Macaca fascicularis: one gene and its partners. The protein of the gene in region 3 purifies or fractionates together with the protein of the main gene of each other region. This does not show direct contact. Links are inferred from orthologs where the notes say so. Each region holds a gene or a part of one and is shown on either strand. Other genes may lie near its edges.

Evidence for each region. Proteins that work in one complex are often made in the same cells at the same time.
Region 1: the proteins of SF3A3 (region 3) and SNRPA fractionate together in Homo sapiens (co-fractionation; 4 studies listed by BioGRID and IntAct, with this or other methods). This does not show direct contact. The link is inferred for Macaca fascicularis from reciprocal best matches to the Homo sapiens genes SF3A3 and SNRPA.
Region 2: the proteins of SF3A3 (region 3) and SNRNP70 fractionate together in Homo sapiens (co-fractionation; 3 studies listed by BioGRID). This does not show direct contact. The link is inferred for Macaca fascicularis from reciprocal best matches to the Homo sapiens genes SF3A3 and SNRNP70.

Annotation. Positions count from the first base shown.
Region 1 is NC_088393.1:47,871,668-47,876,383, forward strand, and holds part of SNRPA (U1 small nuclear ribonucleoprotein A), read left to right. Parts: intron 1-390; coding exon 391-563; intron 564-3,077; coding exon 3,078-3,257; intron 3,258-4,716. UniProt on the Homo sapiens protein: Component of the spliceosomal U1 snRNP, which is essential for recognition of the pre-mRNA 5' splice-site and the subsequent assembly of the spliceosome. U1 snRNP is the first snRNP to interact with pre-mRNA.
Region 2 is NC_088393.1:57,065,040-57,069,755, forward strand, and holds part of SNRNP70 (U1 small nuclear ribonucleoprotein 70 kDa), read left to right. Parts: intron 1-2,680; coding exon 2,681-2,743; intron 2,744-2,855; coding exon 2,856-2,910; intron 2,911-4,716. UniProt on the Homo sapiens protein: Component of the spliceosomal U1 snRNP, which is essential for recognition of the pre-mRNA 5' splice-site and the subsequent assembly of the spliceosome. SNRNP70 binds to the loop I region of U1-snRNA.
Region 3 is NC_088375.1:196,924,336-196,929,499, reverse strand, and holds the start of SF3A3 (splicing factor 3A subunit 3), read right to left. Parts: upstream 3,152-5,164; 5' UTR 3,095-3,151; coding exon 2,999-3,094; intron 2,696-2,998; coding exon 2,648-2,695; intron 956-2,647; coding exon 903-955; intron 801-902; coding exon 695-800; intron 1-694. UniProt on the Homo sapiens protein: Component of the 17S U2 SnRNP complex of the spliceosome, a large ribonucleoprotein complex that removes introns from transcribed pre-mRNAs.

The DNA of each region.
Region 1 (4,716 bases), on a different chromosome or scaffold from region 3:
TGGGGACTCAGGAGCATAGTGGAATGTGGGCAGGAATGAGTTGGGGGAAATCTGCCAGGGCCACGTCATGCAGGCCTGTGTCAGGGTGCTGGTGGCAATGAAAAGAATCACTCATATTTACTGAGCGTTTACTATGTACCGGATGCTGTCCTGAGCACTTTGCATGTATGTGCACATGTTCGTTATATAGCAGCTCTCTGTAAGCACATCTTACAGAAGAGTGTACTTGGCTGCTTGAGTGGTTCCTGGCCGCTTCTGTGATTGTTAGGTCTTGAGAGATTATGGACCCGAGGCATTCTGGGTAGCCCGTCAATTGGCTGATGGTCTTCTATCTGGGCTGCGCTTCTTCTAACAAGGGGAGCTCAGAGGTCTTTTCTTTCCCCACTGCAGAGCTAAAAAAGTCCCTGTACGCCATCTTCTCCCAGTTTGGCCAGATCCTGGATATCCTGGTATCACGGAGCCTAAAGATGAGGGGCCAGGCCTTTGTCATCTTCAAGGAGGTCAGCAGCGCCACCAACGCCCTGCGCTCCATGCAGGGTTTCCCCTTCTATGACAAGCCCATGGTGAGCATTGTGGGTATGGAGGCTGTGTGGGTGTGTGAAATGTTATAGGAGACTGGGCGGGCCTGGATTAGAGGAGGGGATATTAGGGTTCATTCACCAAGGTGAGACTGGACCAGGCTCCCACTGCACCTTGCCTCCTTTAAAAATTTTTTTGGCGGAGTGCGGTGGCTCATGCCTGTAATCCCAGCACTTTCGGAGGCCGAGGCAGGCAGTTTACCTGAGCTCAGGAGTTTGCGACTAGCCTGGGCAACACTGTGAAACCCCGTCTACTAAAATACAAAAATTAGCTGGGCGTGGCAGCATGCGCCTGTAGTCCCAGCTACTCGGGAGGCTGAGGAAGGAGAATTGCTTGAACCTGGGAGGCAGAGGTTGCAGTGAGCCGAGATCCTGCCACTGCTCTCCAGCCTGGGTGACAGAGTGAGACTGTCTCAAAATACGTATATATATGTATATTTGGCTGGACATGGTGGCTCATGCCTGTAATCCCAGCACTTTGGGAGGCTGAGGCCAGTGGATTACCTGAGGTCAGGAGTTCGAGACCAGCCTGGCCAACATGGCGAAACCCTGTCTCTACAAAAATACAAAAATCAGCTGGGCATGATGGCTGGCACCTGTAATCCCAGCTACTTGGGAGGCTGAGGCAGGAGAATTGCTTGAACCCGAGAGGCGGAGGTTGCAGTGAGCCAATATCGCACCACTGCACTCCAGCCTGGGTGACAGAGCAGGACTATATCTCAAAAAATAAAAATAAATTTAAAGAAATCTTAAAAAAATTTTTTTTAATTTATTTTATTTATTTATTTATTTTTGATGAGATAGACGATGCTATCTCCCCTGGAAACGCTGATTTTTGTATTTTTAGTAGAGATAGGGTTTCGCCATGTTGCCCAGGCTGGTCTCGAACTCCTGAGCTCCAGTGATCTGCCGGCCTCAACCTCCCAAAGTGCTAGGATTACAGGCGTGAGCTACTGTGCCACACTAAGAATGTTTAACATACCTTCCCCTACTGAATAAGCACCGTGAAAGAGGGGTTTTTGTCTATTTTTTTCATTGCTTTATTCCCAGAGCCTCGAATTGTGCCTGGCATCTGGCAGGTTCTTCTTTTTTTTTTTTTTTTTGAGACAGAGTCTTGCTCTGTCGCCCAGGCTGGAGCGCAGTGGCCGGATCTCGGCTCACTGCAAGCTCCGCCTCCCGGGTTTATGCCATTCTCCTGCCTCAGCCTCCCGAGTAGCTGGGACTACAGGCGCCCGCCACCTCGCCCGGCTAGTTTTTTTTTTTTTTTTTTTTTGTATTTTTTAGTAGAGACGGGGTTTCACTGTGTTAGCCAGGATGGTCTCGATCTCCTGACCTCGTGATCCGCCCGTCTCGGCCTCCCAAAGTGCTGGGATTACAGGCTTGAGCCACCGCGCCCGGCCTGGCAGGTTCTTCTTAAACAGCTAAGTGAATGAGATTGAACCTGGAAGACTGAGGTGTATTCTTGTGTGATAGGAAATCCCCGTGCACTGCACTCCTCTCCTAGCATTGTCTCCTCGGGCTTTTGGCCTGACGTTTATTGCTGTTCCAGCTTCCCTTGAAAATACCAACAGCCTTTCTACTGAACACTTACTTACTGTGTGTCAGGTACTGTTCCAAGCACTTTAACTCATTTAGTCCTCATAACAGTCCTTTGAAGTGGGAGGTATCATAATCCCCGTTTTTCAGACAAGGAGGTTAAGGCCAAGATATTTATATTTCTGTGTTTCTCAGTAAGCTCCTGATAAGGTCTGATTTTTTTGTTTTTTGTTTTTGTTTTGTTTTGTTTTTTGAGACAGTGACTTGCTCTGTCGCCTGGGCTGGAGTGCACAGGCGCGATCTCAGCTCACTGCAACCTTCGCCTCCCGGGTTCAAGCGATTCTCCTGCCTCCTGCCTCCTGCCTCAGCCTCTTGAGTAGCTGGGACTACAGGTGCATGCCACCATGCCCAGCTAATTTTTGTATTTTTGGTACAAATGGGGTTTCCCGGCCAGGCGCGGTGGCTAGTGCCTGTAATCCCAGCACTTTGGGAGGCTGAGGCGGATGGATCATGAGGTCCGGAGTTCGAGACCAGCCTGGCCAAGATGGTGAAACCCTGTCTCTACTAACAATACAAAAATTAGCCGGGCATGGTGGTGGGCGCCTGTAATCCCAGCTAGTAGTGAGACTGAGGCAGAATTGTTTGAACCTGGGAGGTGGAGGTTGCAGTGAACTGAGATCTCATCACTGCACTTTAGCCTGGGTGACAGAGCAAGACAATGTCTCAAAAAAAGAAAGAAAGAAAAAGAGAGAGAGACAGAGACAAAGAAATGGGGTTTCGCTGCAATGGCCAAACTGGTCTCCACCTCCTGACCTCAAGTGACCTACTCCCTTTAGTCTCCCAAAGGGCTGGGATTACAGGCATGAGCCACAACACCTGGCCCCGGTAAAGGTCCAGTTTTGAATCTTGGCAATTGGGCTCTGAATCCACGCTCTTAACCCGTTCTGCTCTCTGTTTTGGTAGCGTATCCAGTACGCCAAGACTGACTCAGATATCATTGCCAAGATGAAAGGCACCTTCGTGGAGCGGGACCGCAAGCGGGAGAAGAGGAAGCCCAAGAGCCAGGAGACCCCAGCCACCAAGAAGGCTGTGCAAGGCGGGGGAGCTGCCCCTGTGGTGGGGGCTGTCCAGGGGCCTGTCCCGGTAAGCCAGGCCCTGGAGACCAGCCCTCCCACTGCCAAGCCTTCCTCAGCCACATGGACTGGCTTTGGGACAGGGTGGGGAGAGTTCTCCACTTGGGGCTTCAGACCCCCTCCTTTCTGTTTCCTTATAGAGATGTGTGTCTCTCTTTTGGGGTGTTGAGCACCTAGATGATGCTATATCCTCTTGAAACGCTTGTTTCCTCCTTGTGAATGTTTCTCAAGGTCTTTCTTCATGGCTGTGACTTGGTTTCGCTCTCTCCATGGCCTTGATTTTGTCGCCTGTGTCTTGTAACTCATTGTGCATGTAGAAAGTCCAAGTGTCTACTAAGCAACTGTTAGGATTAATAAGTGAACTTCATTTAGAAAGGTTGCTGGATATAAGGGCAATATGGAAAAAATTAGTTTTATTATTTATTAATATTATTTTTGAGACATGGTCTCACTGTCACCCAGGTTGGAGTGCAGTGGTGCCATCACAGCTCACTGCAACCTCTGCCTCAGCCTCCCTAGCAGCTGGAGCTGCCGGTGCGTGCCACCCCACCCAGCTCACTTTTGCATTTTTTGTAGAGACGGGGCTTAGCTGTATCATCCAGGCTAATCTCAAACTCACTGTCTCAGCCTCCCAAAGTGCCAGGATTACATGCATGAGTCACCATGGCCGACCCCCAGTTTTATTTTTATATGCCAGTAACAGACAAGTAGACTTCACATTGAGAAGTAGCACTGAGGGGTAAATCCAACAAAAGGTTTGCAGAATGACTACACTGAAATCACAGAACGTAGCTGGGAGAAATCAGAGACTCAGCAATGGATAGAAGGACTCAGTATTGTCAAGAGGTCAGTTCCATCCAAATTAATGAATATTCAACGTGATTGCAGTCAAAATTCCAACAGGTATTTTGGTAAACAGTGGACACTGATTGGCTCTTTGTAAATGTGTGGAAAGACAAGGCTAAGCCAGGCGAGGATAATAAAGCACCTGGACCTGCATGGCCAGGGGAAGCTCCAGCAACTAGGCCAGACCCAGTGGCTCATGTCTGTAATCCCACCACTTTGGGAGGCCAAAATAGGAGGATTTCTTTTTTTTTTTTTTTTTTTTGGAGACAGAGTCTTGCTCTGTCGCCCAGGCTGGAGTGCAGTGGTGTAATCTTGGCTCACTGCAAGCTCCACCTCCCAGGTTCACGCCATTCTCCTGCCTCAGCCTCCCCAGCAACTGGGACTACAGGTGCCCGCCACCACGCCCGGCTAATTTTTTTGTATTTTTAGTAGAGACGGGGTTTCACTGTCTTGATCTCCTGTTTCACTGTTAGCCAGGATGGTCTCGATCTCCTGACCTCGTGATCTGCCCTCCTCGGCCTCCCAAAGTGCTGGGATTATAGGCGTGAGCCACCACGCCCGGCAGGAGGATTTCTTTAGGTCAGGAGTTCAAGACCAGCCTCCATAAAATAGCAAGACCTCAT
Region 2 (4,716 bases), on a different chromosome or scaffold from region 3:
TAGATAACAGAAAGGTGTATCTTCAGTGGGATTTGCCACCCTTGGTGAACCCGCATTTGAGAAGTGTTACTGGCCAGTTAAATTAACTTAATGGGCACAGGCGGTGGTAGGTGCCCTTTGATGATGCAGGTCATGTGCCAGTTTCTATTTATTTATTTATTTATTTGAGAGGGAGTCTTGCTCTGTCGCCCAGGCTAGAGTGCAGTGGTGCGATCTCAGCTCACTGCAAGCTCCGCCTCCTGGGTTCACGCCATTCTCCTGCCTCAGCCTCCGGAGTAGCTGGGACTACAGGTGCCTGCCACCACGCCCGGCTAATTTTTTGTATTTTTAGTAGAAACGGGGTTTCACCGTGTTAGCCAGGATGGTCTGGATCTCCTGACTTCGTGATCCGCCCACCTTGGCCTCCCAAAGTGCTGGGATTACAGGCGTGAGCCACCGTGCCTGGTCTCAGTTACTAGTTATTTATTTTTTTTTTAATTTTTTTTTTTTTTTTTTTTTTTTTTTTTTGAGACGGAGTCTTGCTCTGTCGCCCAGCCCAGGCTGGAGTGCAGTGGCGCGATCTCGGCTCACTGCAAGCTCCGCCTCCCGGGTTCACGCCATTCTCCTGCCTCAGCCTCCCGAGTAGCTGGGACTACAGGCGCCCACAACCGCGCCCGGCTAATTTTTTGTAATTTTTAGTAGAGACGGGGTTTCACCGTGGTCTCCATCTCCTGACCTTGTGATCCGCCCGCCTCGGCCTCCCAAAGTGCTGGGATTACAGGCGTGAGCCACCGCGCCCGGCCACTAGTTATTTATTTATGAGACAGTTTTGCTCTGTTGCCCAGGCTAGAGTGCAGTGGCGTGATTTTAGCTCACTGCAACCTCTGATTCAAGCAGTTCTCCTGCCTCAGCCTCTCAAGTAGCTGGGGGTACAGGGATGCGCCACCACGCCTGGCTAGTTTTGTATTTTTAGTAGAGATGGGGTTTCACCATTTTGGCCAGGCTGGTTTCGAACTCCTAGCCTCAGGTGATCCACCCTCCTTGGCCTCCCAGAGTGCTGGGATTACAGGTGTGAGCCACCATGCCTGGTAGCCAGGTACTTTTTTTTTTTCTTTTGAGACGGAGTATCGCTCTGTTGCCCAGGCTGTAGTGCAGTGGCACGATCTTGGCTCACTGCAACCTCTGCCTCCTGGGGTTCCAGGGATTCTCCTGCCTCAGCCTCCTGGGTAGCTGGGATTACAGGCATGCGCTACCATGCCTGGCTAATTTTTGTATTTTTTGTAAAGGGGGTTTCACCATGTTGGTCGGGATGGTCTCAAACTCCTAACCTTGTGATCTGCCTGCCTCGGCCTCCCAAAGTGTTGGGATTACAGGCGTGAGCCACCGCACCCCACCAGCCAGTTCCTATTTAATGTGTAGTTGGTGAGACCTTGAAGAACTGCCTTGGCCCTCAGAGGGTGTGCAGTTGTGGGCTTTGGAGCCCTGTTCTGTCAGCTCATGTTGTTTCAGGCCTGGTCCTCTTCACTGGCACTCATCAGCAGGGCCTTGTCATCACTCATTCCCATCACATCCTCTGGCAGTTTGTTCAATGCAAGTGATACTTGGAGCTGTGAGAAGCAATGTGTTTTCTAAACACTGTATTCTTAAGCTAGATGTCACCCGTACCAGTGCTTTTTAAACTGTTTTTGGTGAAGGATAGATACTATTTCCAATCTGTTTGCTTTTGGTATATATGATAGAATTACTTTTTAAAGAAAGACCTCAGACAGGGGTTCGAGACCAGCCAGGCCAACATGGTGAAACCCCCATCTCTACTAAAAATGCAAAAACTAGCCAACATGCTGTCGTGTGCGTGTAAGCCGAGGTACTCAGGAGGCTTAGGCAGGAGAACCGCTTGAAGGATTCTAGTCGGTTCCTGGGTTCCTTTTAGAGACACAGAAACACAGAGGGGAAAGTGGGGTTTAGAATCGCTTGAACCCGGGAAGCAGAGGTTGCAGTGAGCTCAGATCGCACCATTGCACTCCAGTCTGGGCAGCAGAGCACGACTTCGTCTCAAAAAAAAAAAAAAAAAGACCTGCAGAATAAAAGACCAAATTTATATTACAGTCAGTGGACATCAAACTGTGAAATTACTGTAGAAGTTTCTGAACACTTACTCATGGTTTCTGTACTTACCTGTACTTATCACAGTCCAGCAACAGTTTGGATAGTACTGGTCCATGGACCATGCTTAGTTTTTGAGACAGGGTCTTATTCTGTCACCCAGGCTGGAGTGCAGTGTCACAATCATGGCTCACGGCAGCCTTAACCTCTGGTGCCCAAAAGATTCTTCCCCCCTCAGCCTCCCTAGTAGCTGGGACTATAGGTGTGTGCCATTACACCTGGCTAATTTTTAAATTTTTTGTAGAGATGGTGTTTCACTGTTTCCCAGGCTAGTCTGAAACCCCTAGGCTCAAGCATTCTTCCTGTGTCGTCCTCCCAAAGTGCTGGGATTACAAGTGGAAAGCCACTGTGCGTGGCTGCAGACCATGCTTTGATCTGTGCCACTCCCCTCCCTGCACTGTGACAGGGGAAGTGTGAGTGGATGTTTATTTTTGTAGGGGGTGGGGGTGGGAGGGTTGACCTGCTTATTTCTTTGGTGAGTGACCCTTGCCATTTCCCCTAGTCCTTCCCACCCTGTCACCTCTCTTCTTGTTCCCAGGACCCTCGAGATGCCCCGCCTCCAACTCGTGCAGAAACCCGAGAGGAGCGCATGGAGAGGAAAGTATGTCATTGTTGCTTCCTGACCCCCTGTTTTGCCACTGTTTCCAAATGGTCCTTGACACTAGGACACTTCTATCTGCATTTACTTCTCTACTTTCCCTTTCTCTTGACAGAGACGGGAAAAGATTGAGCGGCGACAGCAAGAAGTGGAGACAGAGCTTAAAATGTGTAAGTCTCTCATCCACCATTCGGCTCTCTCCTCCCCCAAACCCTCTGTGTTCTTCCCAGGTCATACCCAGGACCCTGCTGTCACCCAAAGCCTGTTTTGCAGGGAGCAGGGTTGTTAGTTCATTTATTTAGCCCCTGCCACTTGGCAAGCACTGTTTTTGGTTTAGGCTTTTCAGCAGCAGAACATAGGGTAAAAGTTGGCAGGAAGGGAGACCCCAGTACCTTGGGCTCCTCCTGCAGGGGAGGACAGTTAAGGGACTCCCACAACCTAGCTGGGAGTCACAGGCTGAGGCGATGAGTTGTGGGCGAGTGGATCTGTCCTGGCTCTAACGTTAGCTCCTCAACCCTTGGGCTGAGGTTGTTCCATCCCCTCCACATAGAGGAGGAATTGGAGTACAAGACAGATATATTGTTGCCATTAAGCAAACTCATAAGAGGGTCAGATGTCAACCTCCAGTGGCTCTTTATTGTGAGGGTGAAAACTGTACAGTCACACGCAGCATAACAGTGTTTCAGTCAGCAGGGGACTGTGGGTGTGATGGTGATCCTATAAGATTATACCATATTTTCCCGAGTGCAGTGGCTCACTTCTGTAATCCCAGCACTTTGGGAGACCAAGGCGGGTGGATCATGAGGTCGGGAGTTCAAGACCAGCCTGGCCAACATGGTGAAATCCTGTCTCTACTAAAAGTACAAAAATTAGCCGGGCGTGGTGGCGGGCTCCTGTAATCCCAGCTACTTGGGAGACTGAGGCAGGAGAATCTCCGGAAGGCGGAGGTTGCAGTGAGCCGAGATCGCGTCCGCTCTCTGCAACCCAGCCTGGGCAACAAGACCGAAAATCCATCTAAAAAAAAAAAAATTATACCATATTTTTACTGTACCTTTTCTATGCTTAGATACGTTTAGATGCACAAATACTTAGTATTGTGTTAGGGTTGCTGTAGTATTTGGCGTAGTAACATGCTTGGCCTCGGAGCAGTGGGACGCACCCTCTAGCCTGGGAGTGTTGTGAGGTATACCATCTAGGCTCGCGGAAGTGCCGTCTCATGTTTGCATATCGATATCACCATCAAATGACGCACTTCTCAGAACATGACGTGACTCTAGTGAGAAGACAGGTTTTCCTCCTATACCTGTGAACTTCAATGAATCCCTTTCCTCCAAATCCTGGAGTGCAGGGTTTCCTCAGGGTGCTTACACAGAAGTGTGACAGAGGCATCTGGTGGTGCACTCTTTGGACACTGGCTGTCAGAACGCTGCCTTGATGTCCTTCCTCAGATGCCTCAGAGGCATCTCAGAATCAGTGTCCAAACCACAGGGGTTTTCCCTTGCCGCCAACCTGGTTTCCTTTGGGTGTTTTCTCTGGGACGTAGACATTCAAGTGTGCTGGTCATGACCTCATTTTTTGCCATGCAGTTTGTTTCTAACACCTTTTCTAACCCTTTGCTCAGTCTCTCACCAAGACCTATTTGTGTTACTTTCTAAGTGTCACAAACCTGACTCTTCTTTTTGTGTCTATCACCACCACCCAGGTCACCTCTTGCCTGGACAGCACAGTCACAGTCTGCTATAACTAGTTTACCTATGTCTTTTTTTTTTTTTTTTGAGAGAGAGCCTCGCTCTGTCGCCAGGCTGCAGTGGCGCGATCTTGGCTCACCGCAGCCTCCGCCTCCCGGATTCAAGTGATTCTCCTGCCTCAGCCCCCCAAGTAGCTGGAACTACAGGCGTGTGTCACCACGCCCAACTAATTTTTGTATTTTTAGTAGAGACAGAGTTTCAGCATGTTGGCCAGGATCGTCTAGATCT
Region 3 (5,164 bases):
TGAAAGACAAAAAGGAGGAGAAAGCAGGATTAGGCCAGGATAGCCTAGACCACAATGCAGATTGGACAAAATCTTGACCCACCCAATGGGGAGCCGTGGAGCAAAGATAACTCATCAGAGGAGTCTCACAGTGGACCAAATTGCTGGGCCCTAGTACCCATACTGTGCTTAGTCACTGGCCAGGAGCTGCCCACGAAATGTGGCCTTGGCTTTTTTTTGAGATGAAGTCTCACTCTTGTCCCTCAGGATGGTGTGCAATGGCGCAATCTCGGCTCACTGCAACCTCCGCCTCCCGGGTTCAAGTGATTCTCTTGCCTCAGCCTCCCAAGTAGCTGGGATTATAGGCGCATGCCACCATGCCTAGCTAATTTTTGCATTTTTAGTAGAGATGGGGTTTCACTATGTTCGTCAGGCTGGTCTCGAACTCCTGACCTCAGGTGATCCGCCGACCTCAGCCTCCCACAGTGCTGGGATTACAGGTGTGAGCCACCGCACCCGGCCAGCCTTGGCTTCAAAGCTGAGGGAGATGCTGAAAACACTGCAGTTGTAGGATGTCAGCTAACTATGGTCCTTGCACCTAAATGGCAAGTTCTTTCTTGAAGTGCATTTGAATAGCACATGTCCAGTTTCCTTTATACTTTCCTTTATATGCTTTAAAGATAGGTCTGGAGAAAATACTTTTCGGAGGACATACCTCATTTGGGTGCTTCCGGTGGAATTCCTTTATTTGCTTGAGTCTATTATAGAATTCAGCAAACTCATTGGGTCCTGAAATGGCATTGAGCTCCTCCTTTCGTAATCTGCAATTTCAGGAAAATTTCAAAGATAGAGCACAAAGTCAGTCCTCTAACCATGGCTCCTCAGAAGCACTAACTCCTAGATTAGCTGTGACTGTCACTTACCCATCCTTATCATCATACAAATCCCTCAGGTTCCCACTGACCTCCATATACCTCTGAAAGGCAAATACAAAACCATCAGAATGAGGCAATTTGCACAAATGTAGAGCTAAGCAAACAACAAGGGCTCTCCAGTCAAAGCCCAGGGCAATCTCAAGAGATATGGACATGGTCTTAACAGTTCTGTGCTTCCTAGTACCTTTAATAGCCCTGTTTGCTGGTTAGTTTTTCAATAGCCCTTTAACAGCCCTGATTCCTGGTTAGTTTTTTAAGCAGGTCGATTGGAAGATTACCTAAATGATAACATTTAAGGGGTGGCTCCTATTTTTACATACCACCGATGCCTAACTTTCCCTGTAACAGACTCACCCTCTTTGGCTAAACACTAGCTCCCACCTAACATCCTCAAAGATAAAGATGATATTCACTATTTCAAAAAGCTTGACTGAGGAGTAGACAGGCTAAATAAACATTACATAGGCTTCTTTTGTAGTCAAAATATACTAATTCGGGATGGTACAGGTACATAGTCCCCTCCTCCAAAACTTTTGGGCCCAGATTTGTTTCAGAATTTGGAATTTTTAAGTTCAGAAAAGGTATCACATATTATGTAACAGTCCTAGTGGAATCTGGAGCACACAGTTCTGCAGTAAACCTTATACCTTATTTACTAAGTGAGGTAAATTAAAGACCATAAAAAGCCTATCACAGGTTCAGGCCAGTAAACCTGTCAAGTGACAGCAGGTCAGATTTTGACACCAAATAATCACCCAAGGGGAAAAAAATAAAATCCTTGGTTTTCAGAGTATTTTGGGGCTGAGGGCTTGTAATCTGATCATCTCCTGAAAATCAGAAGGTCCAAGTAAGTCTTTTATTCCATTTTAAACAGATTTCAAACGTACCCAAGAGTAAGGAACGTAGTAAAATGAACCTCCATTTACTCATCACCTTGTTTAAAAATTTAAATAGCATCTTGTTTTTCTTTTAAGTAATAAATTAAACTACTACCAGACAAATGCAGTTTAGTAGTCCAAAATGCTTTAAAGCAGTATCCTGGGAGAAAAACACTAATATCCGGTATACATACATACTAATATACGGTATACATACATACATATATATATATATATTTTTTTTTTTTAAGGCAAGGATTGTAGCTATGCACCTGAGTCATGGACTCCTCATAACTATTGTTTGCACATCCAAGGGATACAGGATGCTGTAAAACGGACACGTGTAAGCCGGGCGCAGTGGCTCAAGCCTGTAATCCCAGCACTTTGGGAGGCCGAGGTAGGTGGATCACGAGGTCAGGAGTTCGAGACCAGCCTGACCAACATGGTGAATCTCCGTCTCTACAAAAAATACAAAAATTAGCTGGGCGTGGTGGCGAGCGCCTGTAATCCCAACTACTCCGGAGGCTGAGGCAGGAGAATCGCTTGAACTCGGGAGTCGGAGGTTGCAGGGAGCCGAGACCGCGCCTGGGCAACAGAGCGAGACTCCGTCTTAAAAGAAAAAAAAAGGGGGGGCACCTTTCCGATTAACGAAGAATGCGTAAGAGTTCCCCATTCAGAGAACTGAGGAAGCACCCTTACATTCGGCAGCCTGTGGATATCTGTCCAGGCAGAGAGCTCGCGACTGGCCAATCCGGTTACCTTTGGCCAGTGCTCATGCTGAGACCCCGCACTTCACTTCCCCTCTCTTTTCCCGCCCTCGCCAACCCAAAGAGTGACAGACAGCTGGGCACTCACATCTTGCATGGCCCGAGTGCGGTGATCAGAATTGATCTGGTCCCGGAGCTGAAAAAGCAAACGGTGACACAAACGCCGTTAGCTCGCGTTCTGGAATAGAAAAGGCCGCCCGAGGGCGGCGCTTACCCGCTCAGGTTTTATCCGCTCAGGTTTTAGCAGCTGAGGAAGAAAGGCCTCTGGGGCTCTGGACCCCGGGAGGAGGTTACCAAGACCGGAGCTCGGAGAGGGAGCCCCGGAGGAGGCAGGAGGCGGAGTGCGGGGAGGCGCTGAGGGCCAAAGCAAGCTCTCAGAGGTCAAACACGGGATTGAGGCCCATGCCCCTGCCGCAGCCCCTGCTCAGGCCCCACTCACCGTGGACTTCTTAGTGAGCATCTCTTTAGCCATGACGTCCATGAGCCGTTCCTTCTCCTCATGATAGCGCCGCTGCTGCTCCAGTATTGTCTCCATCTTCCCTTAGCCGCAGCCTCCCAATTCAGACCACCTACACGGCCGGAAGCAACTCCTGCCGCCCGGCGCGCCTGAGTCCCCACGTTGCGCATCCAGCTGCATCAAAGTTCCGCGAGTGCCGGAAGTGCCCGGGGACTTAGGAAAACATGAGCACCACAAGGAAGGCCAGTCTATGTTATGGAGATGGCAACAGTGCCACCTACTGGTGGGAGGTGTGGTGGAGCGATGCCGAGAGGTTTGCAGATACCTCCAGGGGACATAGGAAAACCCAAGAGCCCGAGGTTCAGCGGACCGCTTCCTGGGGCTTGCTGGGGCCGGCTGGGCGGGCAGGTACACTGTGGGGACTGCGCGAGCAGTTGGAGTGCAGCTGGGAGATGGGAAACCGGAACTTGAGGACGCAGCTTTCAGCGTAAATTATGAGAACATTTTCTGCTTCTCTGGACTTCAGCACCTTTCTTAGTAAAATGGGAATAGTGGGGTTTTGCTGGTGGTGTTTTTAAAGAAATTCACATGTGAGGCTGGGCGTGGTAGCTCACGCCTGTAATCCAGCACTTTGGGAAGCCGAGGCGGGCGGATCACTTGAGGTCAGGGGTTCGAGACCAGCCTGGCCAACATGGTGAAACCCCGTCTTTACTAAAAACAAACAAACAAAAATTAGCCGGGCGTGGTGGCACACACCTGTTGTCTCAGCCACTCCGGAGGCTGAGGCAGGAGAATCTCTTGAACCTGGGAAGCAGAGATTGCAGTGAGCTGAGATCGTGCCACTGCACTCCAGCCTGGGCAACAGAATGAGACTCAGTCTCAAAAAAAAAAAAAAAAAAAAAAAAAGGAAGAAAGAAATTCACGTGTAGAAACGACTTGTCTATCGGCAGGGAATATGTTAAATAAAATACTGTGCATCCAACGGGCCAACGAGGTCAGATCAAGACCATCCTGTCTAACATGGTGAAACCCCACCTCTACTAAAAATACAAAAAATTAGCCGTCATGGTGGCACACGCCTGTAGTCACAGCTACTCGGGAGGCTGAGGCAGGAGAATCGCTTGAACCCAGGAGGCAGACATTGCAGTGAGCTGAGATCAAGCCACTGCACTCCAGCCTGGGCGACAGAGACAGACTCCGTCTCAAAAAAAGTAAAATAAAATAAAATACTGTGCATCCAAGCAGAGGAAGACCAGCTGTGAAATGCTATACAGCCTTAAAAAAAAAAAAAAAAAAGATTGTGTCTATATATCTTCACTTGTAAGTAGAGAAATGCAAACATGTCCATGTGTTCACATGTTCACGGCGGCATTATTCATAATAGACAAAAACTGGATGCAACCCAATCGTCTATTAACTGGCAAATGGATAAAGTGTGGTATATCTATACAGTACAATGGAACATTATCCTGCAATAAATGAATACTACAATGATGAACCATGAAAGCATCATGCTAAGTGAAAGAAGCCAGATAGAAAAACAACAGTGTATGTTCAGATAAAATGTCCAGAACGGTGTTAAAAGAAAAACACTGGTGCTCACTATGGCAGCACATATACTAAAATTGGAACCATACAGAGATTAGCATAGCCCCTGCGAAACAAAAAAACCAAACCAAAAACACCGGTTACAGCTTGGCCTTTGCCTTATTTGAACACGGTTTGCATAGTTTGCCATTTGATTGGCCAAAACTCGGTGATTGGCAAAGGGTAGGCTATGGTCTGTTTACAACTCCATTTAGGTTATAGTTCACCATATACAGAGAAACCTTTAGGCTAAATTTAAAATATGTAAGGAGGCAGCTTTAGGCTAAACTTGATTTAACAAAGGCAAATCTATGGAGGCAGAAAGTATATGAGTGGTTGCTTGTGACCGGCGGAGAGATTGGAAGTGATTACAAATGCGCACAAGGAATCCATTTTGGACAGATAGCAATGTTCTAAAATTGGATTGAATACAGTTGCATAACTCTATTCACTTTACTAAAATTAATTGCACTGTACTGTTAAAATGGGTGAATTTTATGGTATATAAATTATACTTCAATAAAACTGTTAAAAACTCTATATGAACTCACATGGAGAGAT